3 linked regions of the Drosophila melanogaster genome follow. The protein of the gene in region 1 interacts with the protein of each later gene in a pairwise test. Each region holds a gene or a part of one and is shown in the gene's direction. Other genes may lie near its edges.

Region 1 (9,253 bases):
ACTAATATCTGATTGATGTTTGCACAGAATGCGCTTGAATTTCAATACACTCCACTGCTTTTCTCTCAGTGTGTCGGCCATCGGGGGTACGCGTACTGTAAACTCAGCGGCCAGCCACTTCTTCATGTTACACTTCAATTGAAGTTCGGCCATTTTGGTTTTCGCATTTCACACCCCTCGCTCCCTTATTTTCGTTATTATTATTGTTGGTTTTTTTTTTTCTTTTTGTACAGCTACTAATTTGTTTTGGCCCTGCGCGTATTTCGTTGTTGCCTATTTTCCAATTTGAGGCTACAACCACCGTCGATGGACAGAGTTGCCACCACCCCTAATCACACCGCTACCCCTCTCGCCAATCATTCCGTTTACGTTGGGTTGTGTGGTAGTGTGCAGTGTTTGCCTTTCGGTTTACTCAAGTGCCAACTCGAAGGCCTGTCCCATAAATTGGTTCGTCGTCATTGTCGAGCACACACTTCGGCCACTTCGGTAGCTCGCACAGCCAGATATAGGGAGGTACACTGAAAGAAATGATTCGTAGGGGTCAGATATAGGGAGGTAAACTGAAAGAAATGATTCGTAGGGGTCAGCGTAAGTGTCTAGCAAGGACCGCTTACAGCTTTCGAGTTAACAAAATCGATTTAGATAAAATGTGACAATTTTGTAGCATATTTGTTGGAAACACAGAACGAGGTCTTGCCGTTTTTCTTAGTGTACCCAAAGAACTTAAGCCGAAAGCAACCCAGCCCAGTCGAAGAACTAGCGCCTGTCAGCGAGCATCCTCACTCTCGAGTGCCCTCGAATGATAAATCATTTTTCCCGTCGTTCACACAAATGATGATCGAGTATTTTCAACTTCAGTTCGTCTGTTACTTTTTGCTGGGCGGAAATTAGTGCAGATAATCCCATTAAAGGATGTACATATCGTTTTCTTTATATGGCATCAAGGGGCGGTGGTATTTATAACATGGATATGAGTAAAAATGGCTACGAAATGAGATTCATTAAAACGATTTTATAAGTAATATTTAGCGATAATGAACATAAAAATAAGCAAGGTAAAATCCGTGGAATTCGACTAATTAAATAAATGTGCGAAAACTTTCACTAATTAGCGAAGACACAAACCGACCGCAGAACAAGGACACGCTGATTGGCTTTGTGCAAAATTAGCCATAAACGCAACCAAAGCGCCATCTGTGGGCAGCGCCCGCAAACTTTGTGTCTTCGCCAAAAGGCAGAAATTAATTTTCTCACGTTACCCATGCGAAATAAACAATTAAATAATTGAAAACTGAACTCGAAATAAGCAGGACAAGCAACAATGACCAGAGCCACAGAAATAGCAGACACAATAACAATAATAAATAATAGTAATATGATAATGACGATTATAATTCACGGCTAATACCAAATGCCTCCACTTGTACGGTAAATGCAATTAGTATGCTCTATAAATTATTTCGGGGCTTAGCGAAAGTATTCAAAACGCAAAATAATTGGTTTTCAATTATTGACAACATATATTTAATCTTAGAATTTATTTCATATTATTCTAGTTAAGAAAGGCCCATTTTTTAATAAGAATAATAATAGAAAATATGAAATTCGTGAAAATTTTCCTAATAATATGCCCATTTATAGCACAACTTTTGAAGAGTATTTCAATCTCGCCTAAGTGCGAATGCCAAAAACCTTCACTTCGAAGTTTTTCTCTGCTTTTCGGGCCATTATCGTTGTTATTATGCCATTGTGGCGCAATTAAAGTTTCAACTAATCACACGGCAACAATTGTGTGACAATAATATTGTCTAAAGCCCCTTGAAAAAACACCCCCGTTGCCCCGCGAAGATTTACCGAGATTTGTTCACACTTAACAACTTAATTACACAACAATGTGCTTGTTGTTATTTATGCCATTTGATTTATTATTATTATTTATTACTGCTTTTATTCGTATAGGATAGCTTTATATATATATATATATATATATATATATATATATTTTTTTTTTTGGTAAGCCTTATACCGCCTGTCAGTCCAAAAAATAATCGAGAAACTCGCTGGGGGAAGCCTACACAAAAAGTAACTGAACTTTAATTGTTCATAATTAAGTTTGTCCGATTCCGATTCCGATTGTGTGCTGTGCATTGTGTGTGTGCCAAGACAATAATAGTTAAGTAAATAAATCTCGACACATAATTGACAATCGATTTTGGTAAACTCTCGCACTTGAGATCATAATTAAATCATTCGGCGGGCCACGTCAACTACCAGAAATGTGAAGAGCAACTCGAGACGAAATAAGGCACCCGGTATCAAAGTATTCAAAAATATATATATATATATATATATGAATGAATATGAATGAATATATAGCCGGACTTTGGCCAGGTAGTTGGGTTGTCAGTCCTTCGTTGGCACGTCAAAATATTTGCAAAACAAAAGCACACAGGTCCGAGTTCCTGGAAACTCGCAGGACATGCCAGTGGATTTAGTAAAAATAAAAAAGCAGAAATAAAACAAGAAATCGCCAACATTGAACTGTAACCAATGGTTAATGGCCAGGTGAAAACTATATGGTTCTCAGCGAAATAGAGTAAAACTATATCATCAATATCGGATTACCCATAATCATCGGCGAAATTCAATATTTATTTTGACAGGATCCCCCGGCGATTGTAATTGCAAGTTAATTAACAATCAAATTCCAGTAAATAAACGAATTTCGCCTTAAAGAGCTCGCATACCCAATGAATGAATCATAATCATTCCGGGGGCAACCTGCTTAAGAAAATATCGAATTACCCGCGAAATTCTTCTAGCACGCACTCTTCGTTCGCTGCCTTCCTTTCTGCAGCCTGCCCCCGTCTCTCTCTCCCTCGCTCTCTTTCTCTCTCGCACGACCACGTTGCCTCTCTTTCTTTTATTTCCAAATGCCAGACTGCGTGGCCCGACGGATATGTACATACTTACATACATATATGTATATACATATATATGATCTGTGATTCCGTTTCGTTTCGATCCGCTCCGATTTCGCTGCGATGGCCGTGTGAGCGTTGGCATTTCAATTGTCTAATTGCCGCGTGGGTTTCTCCATAGGCAGAGCTCACTGTGTGGGGGCGTGAGAAAAGCCCCAAAAGACCCGTTTGCCTGCCACTGATCGTGGCTTTCCAATTGCTGGTGTCTTTATTTTCTTTAAATAGAAATCAATGCGTGTATATAGAATATAATCGATGCGTAACAAAATATATTTATATATTTTTTTGAGAATTAAATATCAACACGTTTTTTCTATCTGTGTATGGCCTTTTGTAGGAGATCCCTTTCGGGACCGAGTTAATTGTAAGTCCCTCAATTGCCTAGCAGTAATTTGCAAGTCCATTACAAGCTCTACTTTTCGACTGCTGCCGAAATCAAGCCGAATTATTTTGCCGAATTTCGGGACATTTCTCCGAGAACAATAACCCACATAGCACGACCCCAAAATCTCTTGAAATCCTGCAAAACTGCGCAGCAAGGACTCTCCCACTGGCACACACGCACACACTCATGCACACAGGACGTGGTGTAAATGCTAATTTACGCATTTCAATAGTACAAGTTTTTGGCGAAAATTTTAATTAGACTGCCTTTTTTTTGGGGAAGGGAAAGGCATTGTTAGGCGGCCGACAAGTGAGTAGTTTCTACCAGCTGGAAACCGAATGGTGGCTCGTTTTTTGGGCCATAAATTGGCGTCCTTCATTGAACGGAGAGCGGTTGGAGTTCCGAGTTCGAGTTCGGGTCTGCGAAATAGTTGTTTTCTTGCGCCTTTTTTTGCGCCACCCCAGCCCTGTTGACCATGCCCTCTCCCACTCTTGCGCTCTCTGGCTCTCTTTCACTCACACAAAATGGGCGCCGCACACTGTGGCAATCGGGCACCAATACAACGGCAAGCAGCGCACCAACACTAATGCGTTTCGGTCCGAACTGGAAGTTCGCGGGAAAACTGGAAGGTTACGCGTGTGCGAGAAGAGCACGGCTAGATGGTGCTTGGAAGGCGCTTGCTGCTCTCCTCACTCTAACGGCGAATGGATGTCGCACATGCGCCATGTTGCCGAGGGGAAGGCCCATATGCTGCTGACTCCCTCGCACTCGCTGAGCGGCGAAGAGTGCGGCTAGCGTGCGACAGAGACCGCCCCTGAATATTTACCGTTGCCGGGCAGCGCAGTCGACGCGAGCGTCGCTGTCGGCGCGCTGCTTTTGCCGCCGTTGCCGCCGTTACTGCTGTTGCTGCTGCTGTTGGTGTTGCTGCTGCTGCTGCAAATGTTGCTGCTGCGCTTGCCATGCGATTTGAGGTCCTCGGAAGAGCAAAGCTCCGCTGGCCGTTTACCGTTTGTTAGCTGAATGCCTCCTTGGCCAAATCCAAAGCGAAATGCAAAGCCAAGTCGAAAGCCAACCACCAGCAGCAACATAACGGCAGCAACAGCACGACAGCAACAGCAACAGCAAACAGAAACAGCAACTGCGACGACAAAACTCCTGGTGCACATTAACGCAGGCAACAGTTTAACGTGGAAATTATTGCGAATTTGTTGTGTGTTTTTCTGCGACGCGTGCCAGCGCAAAATCTCAAAACCTCCATTCGCAAATCCCATTTCGCGTAGTCTTTACAACATTGCAAAACTTGCCTTTGCTTTGTTTTTTTTTTTGTTTTCTGGGTTTCTCAATTGGGACTGCATGATGTTTTCAAGCGATTTGTTTTGACAACGGCAATATCTAGACGTAAATCGAAATATTAGCAATCGAAAATGCCGCAGCGTTCGCCATTTGCCATTCAGGAGCTGCTGGGCTTGGCGGTGGCGGCGGCCACAGAAGCGCCAACCGATCTGACGACAACTGCCGGTGCAACGGTGGCAAAAGAGCGCCAAACGCCAACGCCGCCAAAGACAACAAATGCCACAATGGCAACAGCAGCAACATCAGCAGCTACGGCAGCAACACCAACAAATGCGGCCGAAGGCAATTTAACGAGCGTTTCGGAGCCACAGCAGCAGCCGCAGCAGCAGCAACAAGAGCAGCAGCACCACCAGCCGCACCACCATCAGTACAGGGAGCACCACCAAATGACCATGGCGGCCGCCTCGCGAATGGCCTACTTCAATGCCCATGCGGCGGTGGCAGCGGCCTTTATGCCCCACCAACTGGCCGCGGCGGTGCACCATCATCATCAGCATCAGCACCAGCACCATCCACACCACCACCCGCACCACCCACACGGAGCCGTTGGCGGGCCACCGCCGCCGCCGCCGATGCAGCACCACCACCCCCACCATCCGCACCACCCGCTGCTGCACGCGCAGGGTAAGCCAATGTCCCCGCCAGCGAACCACTCAAATTGCAGTTAATTGCAGTTAGTAAAACACAGATATATATATTTTTTTCATTTATGCATATACTGAACATGGGAAAGTTGAAAAGTGCCGTAGCTAACTTACATATATTTCGCTATAGCGATTTTAAAAATCTTTTGTTCGATGTATTTACACTGACAATCAAAGCTTAAACGCAATTAGCAATCGCAACTGGTTTTGTCACCTGCCAGACACACCAACACAGGCGCACATATACACATGCTCAGATACATTTACAGATTCAGATTCAGATACAGATACATTCGATTCACACGCACACGCACACACAGTGGGGCGAATCGGTGTCTGGAGTGCCGCTTAGTTAGCATAAAAAAGGAATTAATCAGCGGTCCATCGTCCGCCAAATCAGCTTTGGCCCCACTGCAAACGACACAACGCCCGCATCCGCACCACCGCTCCACCGATCCGGCAATCCGGCAATCCGCCTCCGAAGCCACTCCAATCCAAAGCACCACCACTCAAGTTGAGCTGCTAATTGCACTGTGTGTGGATGTGTGTGTGTGAGTGTTTGTGTGTGTGTTGCACTCTGGTTTGAGCATAGCAAAAACTGGGCTTCACAATTGTTGCAATAGTTTGGGCACACTAACGACAATAGTTAGTTTTCATATTGTTTAAATAAAATTCTAGAATCAGTGGAAATCCGAATCAATTTATAATAAGCTTGGTATGCTTTTCGAGTAGGTTTTTGGTCGCTTTTGTGCCACTGTAGGTGCGCCTTTGTTTGGCGATCAGCACAGGCAATGAAACACGCACACTGCAAGAAAATCCCACACACTAACAGTGAACTCGAGTCGACCTGCTGTCTCTCTCGATTCAAAGCTCATTTGCAAGTGGCAATATCATACGAAGTTGGAGCGATGACAGTGAAGGCAGATAAACAGAAAGGCATGAAAAGCCGTGCAGGGATTGGATACACGGTAAAAAACTAGGAACTAGTTGCTGGCTGCCAGAAGTAAGCAGTTGATTAACAACATAAGCACTTCAAATTGTTATATTTCTCATTGGATTTGTGAACTATATCTGGAATGGCATTAATAACAAAATCCTGAAGCGTTTAGCCAAATTTCTTTCACTGTGAAAAGTGCGAGGCTCTGCAGATAATCTTGCAGATTCAAGTGGCAGCTGTTATTATTGTTATTATTATTTTAATTAGCGTTGAAATATCATCATCGTCATCACCGATTTCCATTGCTCTGCAACTGATTCACTGTGCCAATTTCACTGCGCACTCACTCAACTTATGTGGATATGTAGATACATATATGAGTAGATTGAATCTGATTTCTTGATTTCAAATCTGTTTACCCCTACACTTCCGGACCCTTTTTTTTGGGGTCTTATTATTATTATTTTTTTTTTTATTGATTTCGCATGTTGTGCGGCTTTCTTTTTGGCTCGATGTTTATGCGTTATTTTAATTACAATACTCCTATCCGTTTATCGCCCATTTCCACAGTTTCGTCGTAATTTGCGTTTAATAAATGTGGGAAAGAGCACTGCTCTTAGCTGCTAAATAGTTATGGGTAGTATGGGCTAGCAGACTGGGATTACAATTTAAACTATGACCAATTAGTTAAGGTTTTATAAATAGTGGTAATGTATGTAGTATGTAATAGTTGTGCTCATTAGTTTTGGTGCAATAAACAGGGCGAGTTGCTCTGCGATGATGAGAGAGAGTGGGTTGCCTCCGCTAAAAGCATATATTCTAGGGTATGTAATAGTCGTGCTCATAAATAGAGATAGAGAAAGTGGTCTGCCTGTGGTAAAAGCTTATAAATTAGGAAAGGCTTATATGTTTTAGGGTATGCAGTAGTCGTGCTTATTAGTTCACTCCCCATTTTCTTCTGTTCTGTTTAGCCGTGCTTTCTGCTTTTCATTCGCGTCATCCTATTTAATTTTGCATATTTTCAACTCGCTTCGTTGTCGTACGAATATTTCGGGTATCCGTTGTTGATTTTATACCCATTTGCGTGGCCAGCTCGTCAATTAAAAAATCGCATCAGGTTTGGTCGAATCGCGAGCGAATTTCTGGCCGGATTTCGGACGGATTTCCTGTCCAGAGCTGAGTACTTGGCGCCCTCCATTAAGTGCCTTTGATCTTTTACCAGAAGGGAAAACCCAAATCGGAAAATTGGTTGCCCAACGACAATAAGAAAAGCGCTTTTTCTTCGCACACCACACCGCCACACATTTAATTGACAATTTTCACTTTGGCTACGCGCGTCGCTTTGTTGTGACAGTCGTTTTGATGTGTTTGCACATCCCCACACACACATACAATTCAAGATTTTCCTTGTATTGGTGCACTTGTGCTGCAAAGATTTCGACAATTTACTCGCCTCTCGAAATTAACCATTTAGGATTTTCCACTTTTTAGCTGAGCATGCCAACAATGTATACAGATAATAAGTAACTAAGTTGGTATGTATGAGTTCAAAATTTAAGTTAGCCAGCTTGAGATGCTGATGCTGATCCATTGGGGAACGGCTTACTAAATAGATATTACGTTTAAATTCAGTTACGAATATTCGTAAGAGTAATAATCACGATTTCCTTATCATTTCCTTATGTACTGATTTATGTACTGATTTATCGTTTCTAGTGGCAACGGAAGTGTTGCAATCACTGACTCGACTCCAGAACTGCTAATTGCTGGCTGTCAGTCTGCCGAAAACTCTGGCCATCTCCATTCAAGTGGCAACAGCCAAATATCCGTATGTCGCCGCCCTTTGATATTTGAGCCACTTTGCTAATAGCCAGCCCCATTATATATGTATATGTACATATATGCATATGTATAGCTGCATGTGCATGTGTGTGTGTGTGTGTCTCCTTGGCTGATAAAAATATTCTTAATTGTAGTTTCGCCTCGGACATTGTGTGCGGTCGTCTTTTGACTTTGCTTTGATTTTGCGTTGACGTAAATTAGAAAAGCGAACGGTTGAAGAATGTGGGAGAAATTCGGAAAAGTGTCGACAAACGCCCTTCGGTTTTTTGAGTATTTCTCACTTTTTGGTTTTTGATTTTTCAGTTTTTTTTTGATTTTTTTGATTTTTTTCTTTCACATTTTCTACATAAATTTGCTGCTGCTTAACCCCTTGACGCCCCGCACTTTCTGCATTCTGCATTGTCCGAGGTGTGAAAATGTTCGGCGTCAGCGTTTCACGAGTGCAGTTATTGTTTCAGTTGTTGTTGCCAGCACTTTACCGCCTCCCCGCCCAATGCCACTTATTTGCATTGCATTCTTGTTTTTGGCACTTTGTCACACTTTTTCGCTTTGATTTTTTGCGAATTTAAAAGTCAATTAAAGCAACTTGACGAACGAAGTGCCGAGTGCCACTCAAGGGTTAATTTGTCCGTGCCAGTGTGAGTGTGAGTGCGAATGAGTGTGAGTGTGAGTGTGAGTGCAAGGGGTGAGCCTGCAATTGTGTGGGTGTGAGTGCCAGTTGATTCACAACCGTTCGCATCGAACGGAATTAGCCGCAATAATTTCGAATTTTCTCAAACGGAACGCCATGCAATTCATTCACGATAATCACAAATTACACTTGCAATAAATTGCGATAACTATAATATTAAATATACTCAAGCTAGCAACCAAATGAAAATCGCATGTAAATGAAAGCATACTCGCACGATAATTGACCAAAATACGAGTATATATAGCAGACACACTCATATTCGAGTCTAGTTGCCCAGTGTATTCGCATTCGTATTCATGTATTCATAAGCTGGATTTTGTGCCCCGTCACATGGCAATCAGAGCCGGGCAATTCGTGCCCCAAAAAGCTCAACTCACTTTGGCTGCACAGCCAGCGTGTTGCAGGGGCGCCAATGTT
Region 2 (8,028 bases), on another chromosome or scaffold:
TCGCCGAAAAATGTGAAAAAGCTACAAACTTTTTAGCATATTAATATATAAGACATTTGGATAATCATACTAAGGTGAGCTAATAAAAAATAAACAAAGCTTGTAACTATTTAAATAATAGTCGTAATTCATTTAAATTTGTTCTTAATACATAATAATCTATTTAAATTATATTTTATTATCTTCTAATTTCTGTACTTGCTGCGACATGATTAGCGACTTTTGGCTTGAAAACAGCTTTGCTCACATCATTGTTTCAAGTTGCCACAAAAATGAAGCCTCTCTTGCCGTTGTTAAATTCATTTTAAGTCCCAAAATCAGCCAGCAGACAACGGAGTTTTGTGAAGAGTCAAAATGGAGTATATAACTGAAGTTTAATTTGTTTTTACAAGCATAATTATGAGCTATGATCGCTACGCAATTTTTCCCCTAAAGTGAACCAGGCAAATCATTGCCGAGAAAAGTTCCAGAGTAAAAATTTCATGTATTTCAACATCTGCAGAGCAGTGAAACAGAAAGATACTTAGACTAAACGCTTTTTAAACGCTAAATAATCAAACATGGGGTAACACTACGGCAGCACATAGATTATCCCATGGATTATCCTCAACTCCTTTCCCATTTGACTGTATTTTGAATTACTTTGAGCACTCTGCTTTTGTTGAACCCTTGCTGACGACTTGTTTGTTTATTTGTTTGCCTTTCGACAACCGCGAAGCTTCAACCGAATGAAAATGGGTATGGGAAAGTGGGCTGCCCCTGATGAGGTTGCAAACACCTTGCGGCTAACAAGTGTACAGCTCCCAGAATCCCATTCCAACAGAATCCATTCCAACCAACCCGCAATCCATTGTCAGCCGGCTTTTTCAGCCATCACAATCACATCTCACTGACATACCCTGTCAAGGGTTCGTTAATTGGGGTGCAGAGTGTATAAATTTATAAGAAACTACAGCTTAGGATAATATACCATTCAATTTAAATATTTAAATACATGGTTTCTTGTGTGCATTACTATTCAATAAATAAAAAATAAATCAAAAATGCTTTCAGTCTTTAGTCAGATCATTTAGTTTAGTAATTTAGTTAGTAATATAAGCAGTCTGAAGTTATGTATTGTATCTTTACTACTACTATCTTTAGAATGTATAAACTTCGTTCTGATCGCCGTTTAGCTGCCGACACCTTTGCTTTTCGGCTGCATTCCATTTCGTTGTGTATTTTCGATTTTAAACGCAAGCGGCGAATGCAAGTCACGGCTGACAGGGGCACCACCCAGATCCACAGAGAACCACCCAGACCAGCTTCACCATTGGGTGGCACCACCCAGCTCGCGATTCCGAGGGAATGCGCAGGTGTGCGCTGAAAAACATGCTAAACCGCCCGGCTGACGTTAAGCGATTTTCGAATGAATTGAAACTTGCTATTGTTGCGGCACCGAATCGTTTACCTTTTTGTGGCATGAAAGGATGTGCGACGATGGGTGTGGCAAATGCGAGTGTGTGCAAACAATTTGGCGGATTAAATGAGTCCCAAATGAGACGTTTTTATGCCCGCCACACACACATTTTATGCAACATCATAAAGTCCATTGCGGACTTAGCCAAAGCCGATGCTCAATGCTTCAGCTCGACTAAGCTCGAACCATTCGTTCTAATGAAATGAAGAGAAAAGCGAAGAGCACTTTCAAATAAATCCCCCATCGAATAATGCCAAAAATTAAGTTATTTCTTTTCGATATTGAATTTATCAGGAGAGACATGAGACGGCGGCATACGTGTCCTGAATAGCTATGCCACAAATGCGTGTGGCAGCGGTCCAACCGACATCCGATGCCAGCCATTAAAAGTGTCGCTTGTATTTAAATATTCAATTGTCTCACGGACAAGGATGTGAAACATTTAAAAATGCGCTGTCTTTCCTGAGAAGGGATCCTTTTAGGAAATGAGGGAGCATCCGAGCCAAATTCGGTTATTCAATTGGTTTGTTGCCTAGTAAATGACACCCGATGGTCTTTGAATTTTAAAATAAGGAATCCAAGGTGTATGTTCCAGGACGTGTTCTCAGTTGGCACATTTCTTTTTTCTTTTTTTTTTTTTTTTGGCTGGAGGGTGGATTTGGTTTGGTTTCCATTTGACTACGATATCCGCCTTCCATTGAATTCCACCCACAAAATGGGTGCGATTGTTATTTACATTCTTTTGGGCTGCATTTGCTTTTATGTGGTGGCAATTTATTCAAATTGAGACATTAGACAAATTAAATTTACACGTATCACCCTTGATTGTTACCGCCTGTATATTCGTTTAATTATGACATTATTCAAAACAGTTCATTTGCATTTCGTAATACAAATAAACATTTACGGTTATTCCGTTTGGATATGAAAAAAAAACCAATTTAAGACCATCGTATTTGGAAAACAATATGTTGAACAGTTTTACAAGCAACGTGAATGCCATCCAAGAAGTATGCAAACCCATATTCCAATCTTCTAGCAAGAAATTATCTACATTAATAGAGAAATGTATTGCTCACCTTTTATTCTAAACATTACAGATACATTTCAGATATTTAAATGTACTTCATTTAAAACACTCAAAAAAATGGTCTGTTGAGGTACGTTAACTTCCTTCTTTTTATGGACCCAAAAAGTATGCTTTGCTTTTCTTTTCTTCTTTCGAAAGTATCTTGCAGTTTTAGCTTAAGTTTCCAGACTTTTAACTTCTACCTTTTGAGCTCGTATATATAATTCAAAAATCTTCGGTGGTTTTAAAATTCTTAGTGACTTAAATGCGATGGAAGATGTCCGCACTCTGCGGTATGATATCCAATGGGATGTTTTCGAGGGCATGCAAATAGTTGACATCAATTCAAAGCATGTATGGTCAGAGAAATGTAAAGTTTAGATGTTAAAATTGAAATATATGTAGGTACTATGACATGGTGATCGAGTTCATGTGGTCCAATTCGTTTCTGAAAAGTCTTGTCTATGAGAGTCTGGGACTATTCGATTTGCCGGACATGAAACAGACTTATTCTTGGTAATGTGCTTTTATAAAAAAGTTATGAACAAATGTAGAGTAATAAAACATTATTGGAATATTGTTATAAAGGTATGTGCGACACATCCTGCGAAACGAGTGCTCCGTGATGATGATTAGCGAAGATGAAACGCAAATAAGGGCAGTGGGATTGCTGGAATGGATGACCGAGGAATGGCACTCCTGGTATGATCAATAAATCCACTATCATTTGCCTAATATATACTAGTAACATGTCTGTTTTTATTACAGGGTCTTCTTTCCCTCTTCGTTGCCCAGGAATCTGTTCCAGCAGATCATAATGATGAAGAAGGAGCTCATCGATGCGACCAAAGCGAACATGGGCATCTCCACCTACGATGCACTGTTCGTCCACGAGATCGCCTTTCCGGATGAGCTCTACTTTAACCGGGATTTCCTGTCGACCATCTTCGATGTCTTTGGCTTTGTGGCCCAGCACATGCACATGCCGCGGGTCAGCTTCATCGCCCTCAGCTCCGTGGACCAGGAGGCCGCCAGTCTGATCGATTACGAAGAGATCGGGCGGACTATCTACTCGATCTACAAGGTTGGCAACACCCGGCCCTTTGACATCCTTCGCGAGCTAGACGAGATGTACGCACTGCTGTTTGAACTGGCCGTCTCGCCGGTACTGAAGTACATTGAAATGCCCGGTTTCGAGGAGTTCCACGAGGCCCTGGATGCCAGGTTGGCCAAGGAGGCAGCCGAAAAGCGCCACGACGACGATATTTGATATGTTTCCTGCTGTCTTCTTCACATAAATGTCTGCCTACTCTTGGGCTACCCCATCGTAATTCCCCCAGCTTCCCTTTCACAATTACTTAATTGCAGGCACCATCGTGGAGTGCCAATTTTGACGGGGGGGGTGGAATAGTGGAATGTTTCCAAGCAGTCGGTGATAAGCCTATCAATACGATCCCCATGCCATGGCGATAGTGCTGCCTACACAGGCAAAAATATGCTTGCATTGACCCAATCAAAACGTAGTACAGCATTCAATTCAATTTTATAACATTTTCCATATAGAAATTGCTAAGTGTAATGAAATATATTAAAATGTTTATTATGTAGATAAAGAGATGCTTTTAAATGCTGTTACCTTTACACTACCAATTTTGTTATAGAACTAAAATAATAATCTTTCCAACTGACTTATAATTTGGAACCGTTCTTGGCGGCCAACAGGATATTGAGGACATCGTCGGCACAGCCCCAGCACAAAGTGACTCCACTGCCGCCATGTCCATAGTTGTGGATGAGGAGCTTGCGGCCGCGGCGCTCGGCTTCCAGTCGGAGTTGGGTGCGACCCGGCCGGAGACCTACCCAATCAAAGAGGCACTCCGTGTGCTCCAAACCAGGAATGTACCGCTGACAGCCATCGACGATCATCCGCCTGTCGTTCTGGCAGACTTTAGTGTTGTAGTCCCGCTCCTGATGGGTTCCGCCCAGGACAACACTTTCGGTGCTTAAATATTTCAGATATTGGAATACGAACAAATAAGTGTAACTGGCAAATACTCACTTGGGTATAATATAGTTGCCATCATCACTCTCGTCCAGCACGGCAGAGAAAATCCAGTTGGCCCTCACCCGGGAAACTTGGCCACGCACTGCGTACATTTGATCGTCGTTTAGTAGGGTCTTAGAGCCCAATCCGGAGCAATTGACTATCACATCGTACTCGGAATCGGCTACAAATGCATCCAGGTCTGTAATCCTTTTCCGGACAACAACACCTCCATTTCGGGTGAAACGCTTCATCAAATACGGCAGTAGCTTAATGGGCTCCGAGGTGTAGGTAACAAAGGATAAACCAGACCTAGATATGGTTTAGATATGTTCATATTTCAGCAAGTATAAATCTATGGATATCTATGAATATTCTTACGTGAACTTAACGCTGCGACCTTTATTGTAGGCAGCCAGCTGTTCCTTGGACAGATCCACTGCTCCATAGACAATGTCACGCCAAAAATCTTCGACCGTGTCCACCGTTGAGGTGCTCAGCCGAATGCAGGGTAGCAGACAAACGCCAGCCTCTCCGGCATCCTCGCTCAGCCAGATCTTCTCCAAAAATTGGTGCATGCTCTTCGACCACTTGCTGATGGAAAAAAAGTTATAAGTAAGAATATAATATAGTGACTAGTAAAACTTACTAGACTTTCGCCTGCGAAGTGCCGCCCAGAAGGTACGGACCCCAGAGACCAGCCGAACCATCTCCAGTTGTGTTAGGCGTGAAGTCCTCCGATATGATCGTCACCTTTATGGGTGTCTTTCCATCGTTCACATAGTGTTCCAGTATCTTAATGGCACTGGCAACACCATTAACCCCGGCACCGATAACTGCAATGTTAGGCATTGCTCCAATCCGATCAGCTTGGGAACTTGGAATGAACTGAAAAGAGGATCGCTTATCAGAATTGTAAGCAAATCGCATAATACAATTAGCTGATAACAGAGCTTTTAAAAAGAGCGAAAAAGCTTTTTGCATTTTGAATCTAATATTAACTCTTTCTTAAAATCTAGTAGGCTATAATTCCAACAAGTTGGCCTTGCATTTCATCTCAAACGGAACCGAATATGTGTGTTGGGATGTGTTGATCATTCCTCATTCGATACCAAACTCTCGGACCTTTCGTTTCGGCCAGCTTCTAAATTTTCCAAATTCCAAATTTTTCTTCCAAATTAATTTGACCAAATAGAGTAAGTTTATCCCGGGAAGACCATAGTATATTTTTAAATCCTTTGTCCTGTAGCGCTCGACGGGCTCAAGATGTGTGACGGATGTGGATCGTTGGAGGTGAGTAACCATATGCAACACACCACTGACCACTTGTGACCACTATGTATGCATCCTTTCCAGCCGCGCGGATGCCGCAGTCGGGAGTTACGATGCGGCATCATGTACACCACTTGCGACTGCGTGAAGCGGAACGGTCTGCAGGACAAGTGCCCGCGGTCCGCCTGCCAGGGCCGACCGGCCTGCCTGTGCTTCCCCTTCCCCACCTGCGGTCCGGCGGCATTCCCGCTGCGCTACGCTAACATGATGATGGGCGTGAACAATAAGCGTATGCGCTGTGCCGCCACTGGAGCACCAAATGGCGGTGCCGGATGCGGTGGACGCGTTGCCGGCGGCTGCTGTGGATGCGGTCCCTGCTGCTGTAATGTATCGCCCTGCTGTGGCCCGCACAGTCCTCCATGCTGTGGCTCGCACAGTCTTCCATGCTGTGGCCCGCACAGTCCTCCATGCGGAGCTCCGTCGCCCATTCCTTGCTCCTCTGCTCCGGGCATGTGCTGCCCTCCGCTGCCTGAAGGCGGCATTCCCGATCCGCGTGTCTGGAACTACTATAACGCACCTGTGACGTACCCATGTAAGTCCGGTCCAGGTCCGTCCACCTGTCCGCCTGTCTGTCCGTCTGCTTGTCCATCTGTCACGGCGCTGGGCGTCCGTAGAACGTAAAAACCATGGAGCGGAGGAGCACGAGGCATGCCCAAGGACTTTGCAGGTCACAGCATCTGGAACATGTGCTTGTGGTGACGCTTCATGTCCTTTTGCAGGAGCTTTATGCCCACTACGCTGATCCGTCAACAATGATAGCATGTCCTGGGCTTTGTGAGCGTAGAGGTAGGATCCATGGACCAAATGCTGTTGCCAGGCCCCAAATCCTTCATGACCCTTTGACCTCCATCCGCATCCTGTCGCGTGTAAGTAACTGCGATACCTTCTGCATTCACTGGTTTTACCTTTCTCATCCCACAGGTGGCTTATAAGTATTTCCTGGCAAGTGTTTCGATCGGATCCTGATATGGGCCACTTCCTTGGCGGGACATGTTGTCGTTTTGTGACGTAGTTTTGGTTGATAAAAAATTGAAGTTGGCTTAAATCAAGATTTAGCCAGCTGCGGAATACCCATTACTAGAAGGGCTCGAAGCTATTTGGGAACCCATGTGCAATTCGTCAGACGGTCTTGATTTAAACACAAAATCATATGTTGGTATCTGGAATCTATTTGGCATTAAATTACAAATAAACAAATTGAAATTATATTCTGTGTATTATGGGGGGTGTTAAAGGTTGCGTTTATTTTATGGCTGCACTTATGCTTCGAATATTTATATTTTAAGCCTGGCATTAGAATTGTAAATTAAGGTTGAAACCTTATGCCAAGGCCATAAAAATTTACGTTCATATGTCCCACAGATATTCTGATATTTATATTAATTAATATCAATTTTATTAGGGTGGGTTTCCGTGGCATTTAAGATTTAATTAATTAAAAGTTGAACTTTGCTGATAGTACTTTGTTTTAAACCCATTTTTTCGAGCTGGGAGAGCCATGTTCCAATCTTAGTGAGTTAGTTGACCTAAACAATTCGCGGGTCAAATATTTTGTTTTAGTGAATAAGGCAAATATAGATATATAATTATGTAGATCTGTGGCGATTTCATAATCTTTGCTAAGTCGAAGTAGGCCATGAAATTTCATAAAGTTGGCCATGACTTTTAAGCCAACCCGAACCGAAACTTGAACTGGATGTGCTGGGCCAAGGGAACAGCTAACCTCATTCGATATCTGACTCTCGGACCAGTCGCTTCGACTTCTAAATTTTTTTCTAAATTCCAAATTTACTTTTTCGATAATAACTCAACCAAAAAAGTGAGTGTTAAGTATTTGTTCAAAAAGTATAACATCTTAACTTTTCGCCCGCAGCGTTAGACAAACTCAACATGTGCAACGGATGTGGATGCTGTGGACCCTGTAATGAAACACCCTGCTGTGGCCCCCACAGTCCGCCATGCGGAGCCCCGTCTCCCATCCCGTGCTCTCCTGCTCCGGGCATGTGCTGTCCCCCTCTGCCCGAGGGCGGCATTCCCGATCCCCGTGTCTGGAACTACTACAACACGCCCCCAACTTATCCATGTAAGTCCGCTTCCGAGCTAAATGCTCCCACTCCACCATAC
Region 3 (7,178 bases), on another chromosome or scaffold:
GATCCATTCGCCACCGCTCCTCCAGCGGAGGACGTCATGCAGCAGAACCTGGCGTCGCCCGCACATCCCAATCCGGTGATACCCGTGATGGCCCAAACCATGCCGGTGTTGCAGCCCGTAAGCGTGATGCATCACCAGACGACAGTGCTGGTGGACAATACCCGCCAGGGAACGATCTGTCCCCACTGCAACGCTCGGATTCGCCTTCGCGTGGAGCACCATCCTACCGGATCAACTTACTGTATGGCGGCGTTGCTCTGCCTATTCCTGTAAGTAGATCGCATTTATGGTTGCAAGTATAGCAACAAAGGTTTGTACATACATAATGTGTATGTAAGCAAACGGAAAAAGAAATGTTTTTACTAGTCTGCTATATCTGTGGCCGCAATTGTTTTGCTTCTTCCTGGACAAGCTATGAGAAATTGCTGATCGTGCCTTATAAGCTATATACTCTATTTCCCATCTCTATCCACCAGATGCTGGCCCTGCGTCTGCGCCCCTTGCTGCTGCAACTGTTGCTACAAGACCTCCCAGTACTGTCCCAACTGCAACTCCTGCTTGGGTTCGTTTTGAAGACGCAGCGAAAACACTCGCCGATTTCATATCATTTCATTTTATATATATGTATATATATATACATAACCAACTATACATACATATATGTATGTATGTTCATATCTCCTTATGTATCGACGGCGTCAATGTGGTGTCTTCATCACTTAACATACATAAAAATATGTTTGCTTAGTGAGCAAAATAAGCTGACAGCGAAAAAATAAACAAATAGATTTTGAAGCGAATGGAATTTTCTTTAATTTCTGTTTCTGGGTATCTGGCTACATTGTTGCTGCAGACAACTAGATTTGCAGAAAAAATAATGTGAAACTTAATTGTTCATACGTTTTTTTTTTTTGTTTTTGTGTACTTTTTGGCGGTCTTTTCCCGAAACTTTTTCGTAGCACAACTCTTTTGTGTCCAGCAATAAATGTTGATATGAAACTGTTTTGAACCGGTAAAATGTTGCTGGGACGAACCGGCATGTTGGCACAGTTTAAATTGATGCTAAGATGCTTCAAGATTACTGTTCATGCTATTAAATGAAATCACTGAAGTTCTTTGCATTATAATTGAATATTTAGTAAAATATTTGAATTTCTGCTAAATGTTTAGTTCTTAAGAAATGGAATAAAAGGATTTTAATTTAACTCAGCCTAGGGATACGCTGTAATCAATTTTAAGGATGTATATAAATATCACTTCCCAGTTAGGCAACATAATGTTGCTAACGGAAATACTTTTGGAAGTGTAGTGTCCCGCTTCGCGCCCTAAACTTCTGACCGCACAACACTTTCGCAGCCCAAACAGTGCGCATTAACTTTTTGTCTCTCTGTGAAATCGGAATTCTACTTTATTTATTTTGACAACGTACCCACCCATACAGATTGTAAGTATGACGGGAGAGATATATTATGCAAGCCTAGGATTGGGTCAAACATGAGCAACGGACTATTATAGTCAGGTCTAATTGGGTAATATCTGGTTGTTTAGATGTTTACCGCTGCTTTGCCGCTCCCCAAAAAATTTACTTTTGCTTGGGGGAGAACTCAGCAAAGACATACAGGACGACAGTAGGATTTCGGGGGGAATGTTAATCACTGGCGACGGACACACCCGCTGTTAAATAAGGATACTGTGCTGGGTGGTTTGCGCTAGTGAGAACATACATAAATAGATTGTGTTGATTTTGGATAGGACCAGACCGAGCAAGCAAGTTGCACCAAACGACGAGCAAAGATGATGGATGGAATCGGGGTTGAGCGGGGCTCAGACACACGCGGTTGTGCGATGACGGCGTCGGCACGAAGCTTGCCACATGGCACAAGAGATTCCGTGGCCCACGAGGATGACCTCACGGCGGCAGGAGGGATTGCGCAGCACCGTGGTGCCATCGACGGGAGATAAGGCGGATTACAGCTTGTTTTGCATGGCGGGTGTGCAATTAAAATCCCCATTAACCAGCCAATTTAATGCTCATGCACCAGCGGCACGCGACGTATTCAAGTTTTCAAGGTCTGCGCTGCAATCAATATGAGAGTTATTAGAGTTTCCTGTGCTTTCTTTCTGCAGCTCCGCCATCGAAATGTCCACTTCCGTTGGCCCGGAACCGTGCATCGTGGTCTGCCCCAGTTGCCGTCAACAGGTTACCACTCGTGTGGAGCCGAAAGCCACCACCAAGACTCACCTGATAGCATTGATTATGTGCCTTACCTTGTAAGCCATGTTCGATATTGATTTCTTAACATTCTGGGTGCATTCTCATTGAGTGATCTCTTTCGTGCAGCCTTTGGCCCTGCTTGCTGCCTGTACTGCACTCAATGCGCCCGGAACTCCGACCACCACTGTCCATCTTGCAACGCCTACATTGGCACCTACGAGCGCTGAGCAACTTCCGCCGGAAGTTGTTTTTTTTTTTTTGTCGTGGACTGCAGCCAGCAGCCGTGCCGAAATGCAGCCCCCATTACTTATCCCCACTTGATCTATTTTTAACTCTCTCACATTTATTACTACGCACTATTTTGATAACAAAACAAATCATTGTAGTGCCGGCATATGTATTCTTCAGCACACCAATAAAAGGGTTCAAGGAAGAAACGAGTGGATTTTACCTGGGGGTTGATTTGTTTTAGAGACAACGCAATTCTTGAGCAGAGTTGAGTATTTCTTATGTTTTCAATAAATATGCAAATTGTTGTTATATACGTGCTAATAGCATAGCTGGAAGGACCATTTCGGAAGGGTAAAAGCTACTGGTTTGTTTACCTGACAATGGAATACCCTACTAAGTGCTAACATTTCTGTTTTATTGGTAAGTTTTGATATTAATTAATTCATCATGGCTGAGCAATTTCTTACTAAAGCTTTTCATCCTGCAAAAAAAAAAGAACACTTACTCATGTAAAAGCCCTTATTCTGATAGCCACATAATATTTAACGGAAATCGCTTAGCAAGCCATCCGACATAGTAGGGCTATATAGAATTCGCATCGCGCCGCAACTCGAAAGTTCGCCGAGCAATGTTGGAGGAGCTCTCTGCGGTTTCAGTCGCTGTCGGCAATTCAAACGCGTAGCACACATCGGTCGGAATAATTAGAATGGAGAAGAACTTTCAATACGAGAATATGCAGCCTCAGGCTCCGGGTTTCCAGGCACCGCCCAGTTATGATAGCGCACCGCAGCAGGTCTATCCTCAGCTCCATCAGGGACAGGGAGTGATATTGCAGGGTGAGAATACAGAGAACTATGAATCAATCGGAAATAATGGTCAATTCTTCTGTGCAATTCAAACATAAAATATAATATCGCATATTATACGAAATCCAATCGTGCCTCTTTCAGCTCCACCCAATGTCCTGGGCCAATGTCCATCCGTTGCCACTTGTCCGAGCTGCGGCGTCCGCAGGGAGACGAAGGTGGAGTTCGAGCCCAGCACCAAGACCCACCTGTTGGCCCTACTCATCTGCATGCTGGGGTAAGTGCAGCCCGTTTGCTCCACCTGCCCGCAGGACTAATGGCCATTTTCAGGGGCATTTGCTGCTGCTGCATTCCGTACTGCACCGACTCCTGCCAGTCGGCCAAACACACCTGCACCAGCTGTGGAGCCTACGTGGGCACCTACAAGAACTAGAAGTGCTATCTCAACACCAAATATTACAGGGATAGATCCCACTTTGTATCTCCACACCTATTGATGGGATCAGATTTGGCACGAATATTCACGAAATACAACTCTGGTTCAAATCAATTGAATATATGTATGTAATTTTCGCATTGGTTTACTTTTCAAAATAAATTTCTAATCACACAAATTGTTGGCGATATATGAATGTTAACACTTTCGTATATAATATTAATAAATCCCGGAAATTTCTGAGGCGGGAATATATTATAGATATTTTTATCTGAGGTTCTGCATCCTACGCCCTTTATATAACTTCATTCACATTGTTGATCTAACAATCGCTGCCTCTTCTTGAAACTGGATATATATATATATATATATGTATATTGAACAACTTATGTCAATGAACAGTGGAAAAAGGTTTGTAATTTAATACCTAGATTTTATATTTCCCCTCTTCGAATTAAACACTAAACAAAGGAATAGGGAAGAAACAAGGTAATTTGATCGCTTATCCGTTTATTTGATTACAACTTTTTCTGCAATAATACCAATAAAAAAGATGGGCAACAATATTTAGTTAATTTCATATAATTTAAAAAATGTTGGCAACTAGTATCCAGATTAATACCTGAAATGATGCAAATTCGATGTCCAATTTTATTAACATGTTTATATAAGTAAGTTATTATTCAAGCAAGCGGATTTCATATTTGCCGAGATTCATCAGCTTCGCTGATTCCAGCAGTCAGTATTATCATTTCAGTTCAGGCAAATTGAAATGAAATGCGAGTTCAGTAAATTGAACTTGAGCTGCGCTCTAGACGTCAGCGTGAAATGGAAAACCCAGCGTAATGTTATGATCAGGGTAAAAACCAAAGAATTCCAACTCCTCCTCCTATTTCACAAACATCGCGATAATTCAGACTTCTGTACAACGATAGTTTGTGAAACGTGCAAATTCGAGTCACGAGTGTCGAAAGAAAGCGTTCTATGAGTTATGAAGACTACCATAGATGGATGTGTTATAAGATACTGGTAAATTATAGTGCTTACAATGTACGATAGATATACGATAAATAACTAATATCGCAATTATATTCCAGCAACGAATGTTTGCTCAAAAATTGGGTGCAAAGTCAAAACAATGTAGCAAAAAACATAAAAATTGATATTTGAAATTTACGCAGTTATCAACTTATTAAATCCATTCGAATACACAGTTTGCAGTTTAAAACTGATAACAGAGTGTATAAGTATATATGTAGTAGTATTTTTAAATTTCTCTGATACGCTCATGTGTATGTTTCGTTGACTTCATGAGAATTCCATGAGTCACCCAATTGCAACATGCAACCGGCAATCAAACTGCATTGCACAAAAGATAGTTGAAGCTTGGAGCTTCCAGTGAAATGTCGACAGATTCGAACTGTCCCAACTGCGATTCACATACCATGGTGAGGAGAAGTCGCCTGGCTATCTCGCGATTCAAGAAGCTTAAGATGGATTTTTGGTACTTTAGTGCACATGAGAAGATATTACTTCAACTTCAACTGAAATGTTTATATTTGCTAGTGCAATATGCTGCGGTCATCGATATTGTGGAGTCGGCATTTATGAATCCTACTACAAATGCAGTTCCTGTGGCTGGAAAGGCGATCCTAACCGATCCCCCTAAGATGGCATACGAATCTCAATCTGAAATAAAATAGGAATGCTGTTGCATTTCTGTTTACCACAGAGTGCAGATGAAATATATATACACGAGCTTTTGAGCTTTGGAAATGCACTTTGAAAAATTCCAAAGCAGCAAGCCTATACATGAACTTTAAGTGTAATATGTTTTAAGCAATAAAATACGTATTTATTTTTCCAGATGTCTGGAGCTCGGCTTGTAAAAAGAATTTAAGATAAAAGTAAGGCCTAGGGGATTTTATTTCCGGCATCTTGAATTGTTCGATATACTAGAAATACTCTTGAGAAAAGCTTGTTGATAACAGTGGGGCCTTATCAGTTCAGCTTGGACTTGTTCCTAGAATTCGGGAGTACAGTTTTGAGGCTTAATAAATAGAAGATTAAATGAACTTAGTTCTGAAAAGATGCCACGCAAAAGCACACCAGCATTCAAAGGACGGTCCGCGGAGGTTTACAAAAGTTTATCCGAACCGAAGGCTACAATTCCGAATTCTGGAGCAAAAGATACGTCCCAAGTATGTCTTAATTCCGAGGACTTCAAGTTGTCGTGGAGCCAAAGATTGTGGTTTAATACGCTGTATGTTATTCTTGAGCTAAGATTGCCTTCGTCCAGATGAAATACAGTTTCAAGTTTGTCTTATTTTAGATCCTTTTGTTGCTGCGGACAACCGATAAATAAAAATGTTAGTGATAATTTGGATGAGTAATGCAAATTCTAAAGACTTCAATAATTTGATTAAATGTATGCACATATGTAGAATATTATTAATAAAATAAATAAGTAAAGTACAATAACTGCTCTTGACTCAGCTAATCATTCTTATCTGTATTGACATTATTGCACAGCACACGACAAAATTGTCAATTGCATATTTATTTAGATATGTAATTGTATTAGCTCATCTAGTTTTAACCTGGATTATCATTAGTTAATTATAATAAAATCTTGGGCGATTGAAGGAAACAAGATTTAAAAGTCCAGTACTTAATACTGCGCTTTCCTCCTTCCTTGAACATGATTTCAATTGACAATCGAATTTACTCTCGCTTTCAACAAATTAAGTTGCTTGACTTGGTTGGCGCTCAAAAGCAATGCAAACAAGATACAAAGCTACGACAAAGAGCTTTTGCCAGCAACAATGTTGCGCAACAGCAGTCGCAAGAGTAGTGAAACGCAAGACTCGGTTTCAGTTCGTGACTACCAACCAAACGAAGATGCAGTACAATCAGCAGCCGGCGGGAGCGCCGGGCTATCCCCACCAGATGCCCCCACCGAGCTATGAGCAGGTGGTGCACGTGCAGGCGCCAGTTCGGGTGGTTCACCACACGACAGCACCTCCGCCCGTGGTGATCATACAACGTGGGTTTTTTTCTCAATGTGACAGACATAAGATTAACATTGACAATGACTTGCAGATCAAGCTGTATTGCCGGTGGGTCCGGATCCCACCTTCATCACCTGCCCGCATTGCCATGTCCAGAAACTGACCCGCGTGGAGTACTCGCCCAGTGTGAAAACTCACTGCATGGCCGCCATTCTATGCATCGTTGGGTAAGATTTGCAGATTCTCACCAGCCCCGTGCTACCATCTTATCTAATCTCTGGTGGAAAATCACAAACAGCCTCTGGTGTTGTGCCTGCCTGCCTTACTGCGCCACCAGCTGCATGAACGCCAATCACTTTTGCGGCAATTGCAATAAGTTCGTCGGCGTCTACAACAGCGATTAGTAATACGGAGTAAACAAAACCAAACGAACCCAACCAAATCGAACCGATCAACGCTCACAACCTCAACACACCCAC

What was found.
Region 2: the proteins of Vsx2 (region 1) and CG17377 interact in a two-hybrid assay, tested with the Drosophila melanogaster proteins (2 studies listed by BioGRID).
Region 3: the proteins of Vsx2 (region 1) and CG4250 interact in a two-hybrid assay, tested with the Drosophila melanogaster proteins (2 studies listed by BioGRID).

The regions. Positions count from the first base shown.
Region 1 is NC_004354.4:5,555,500-5,564,752, reverse strand, and holds the start of Vsx2 (visual system homeobox 2), read left to right. Parts: upstream 1-4,569; 5' UTR 4,570-4,790; coding exon 4,791-5,343; intron 5,344-9,253.
Region 2 is NT_033779.5:6,800,448-6,808,475, reverse strand, and holds CG17377 (uncharacterized protein), read left to right. Parts: upstream 1-5,686; 5' UTR 5,687-5,768; intron 5,769-5,821; 5' UTR 5,822-5,838; coding exon 5,839-5,865; intron 5,866-5,928; coding exon 5,929-6,525; 3' UTR 6,526-6,623; coding exon of another isoform or gene 6,624-6,625; 3' UTR 6,626-6,768; exon of another isoform or gene 6,769-6,770; intron 6,771-6,825; coding exon of another isoform or gene 6,826-6,836; 3' UTR 6,837-7,098; downstream 7,099-8,028. Other genes in the region: CG17375 (uncharacterized protein), read left to right, coding at 2,799-2,878, 2,934-3,044, 3,117-3,230, 3,297-3,798; Daao2 (D-amino acid oxidase 2), read right to left, coding at 4,218-4,530, 4,588-4,884, 4,954-5,166, 5,222-5,424; CG17376 (uncharacterized protein), read left to right, coding at 7,795-8,028.
Region 3 is NT_033778.4:22,660,593-22,667,770, forward strand, and holds CG4250 (uncharacterized protein), read left to right. Parts: upstream 1-3,099; 5' UTR 3,100-3,152; coding exon 3,153-3,321; intron 3,322-3,396; coding exon 3,397-3,529; intron 3,530-3,582; coding exon 3,583-3,685; 3' UTR 3,686-3,882; downstream 3,883-7,178. Other genes in the region: CG42565 (uncharacterized protein), read left to right, coding at 1-269, 477-573; CG42867 (uncharacterized protein), read left to right, coding at 5,092-5,192, 5,255-5,357; CG30273 (uncharacterized protein), read left to right, coding at 6,590-6,734, 6,791-6,926, 6,998-7,103.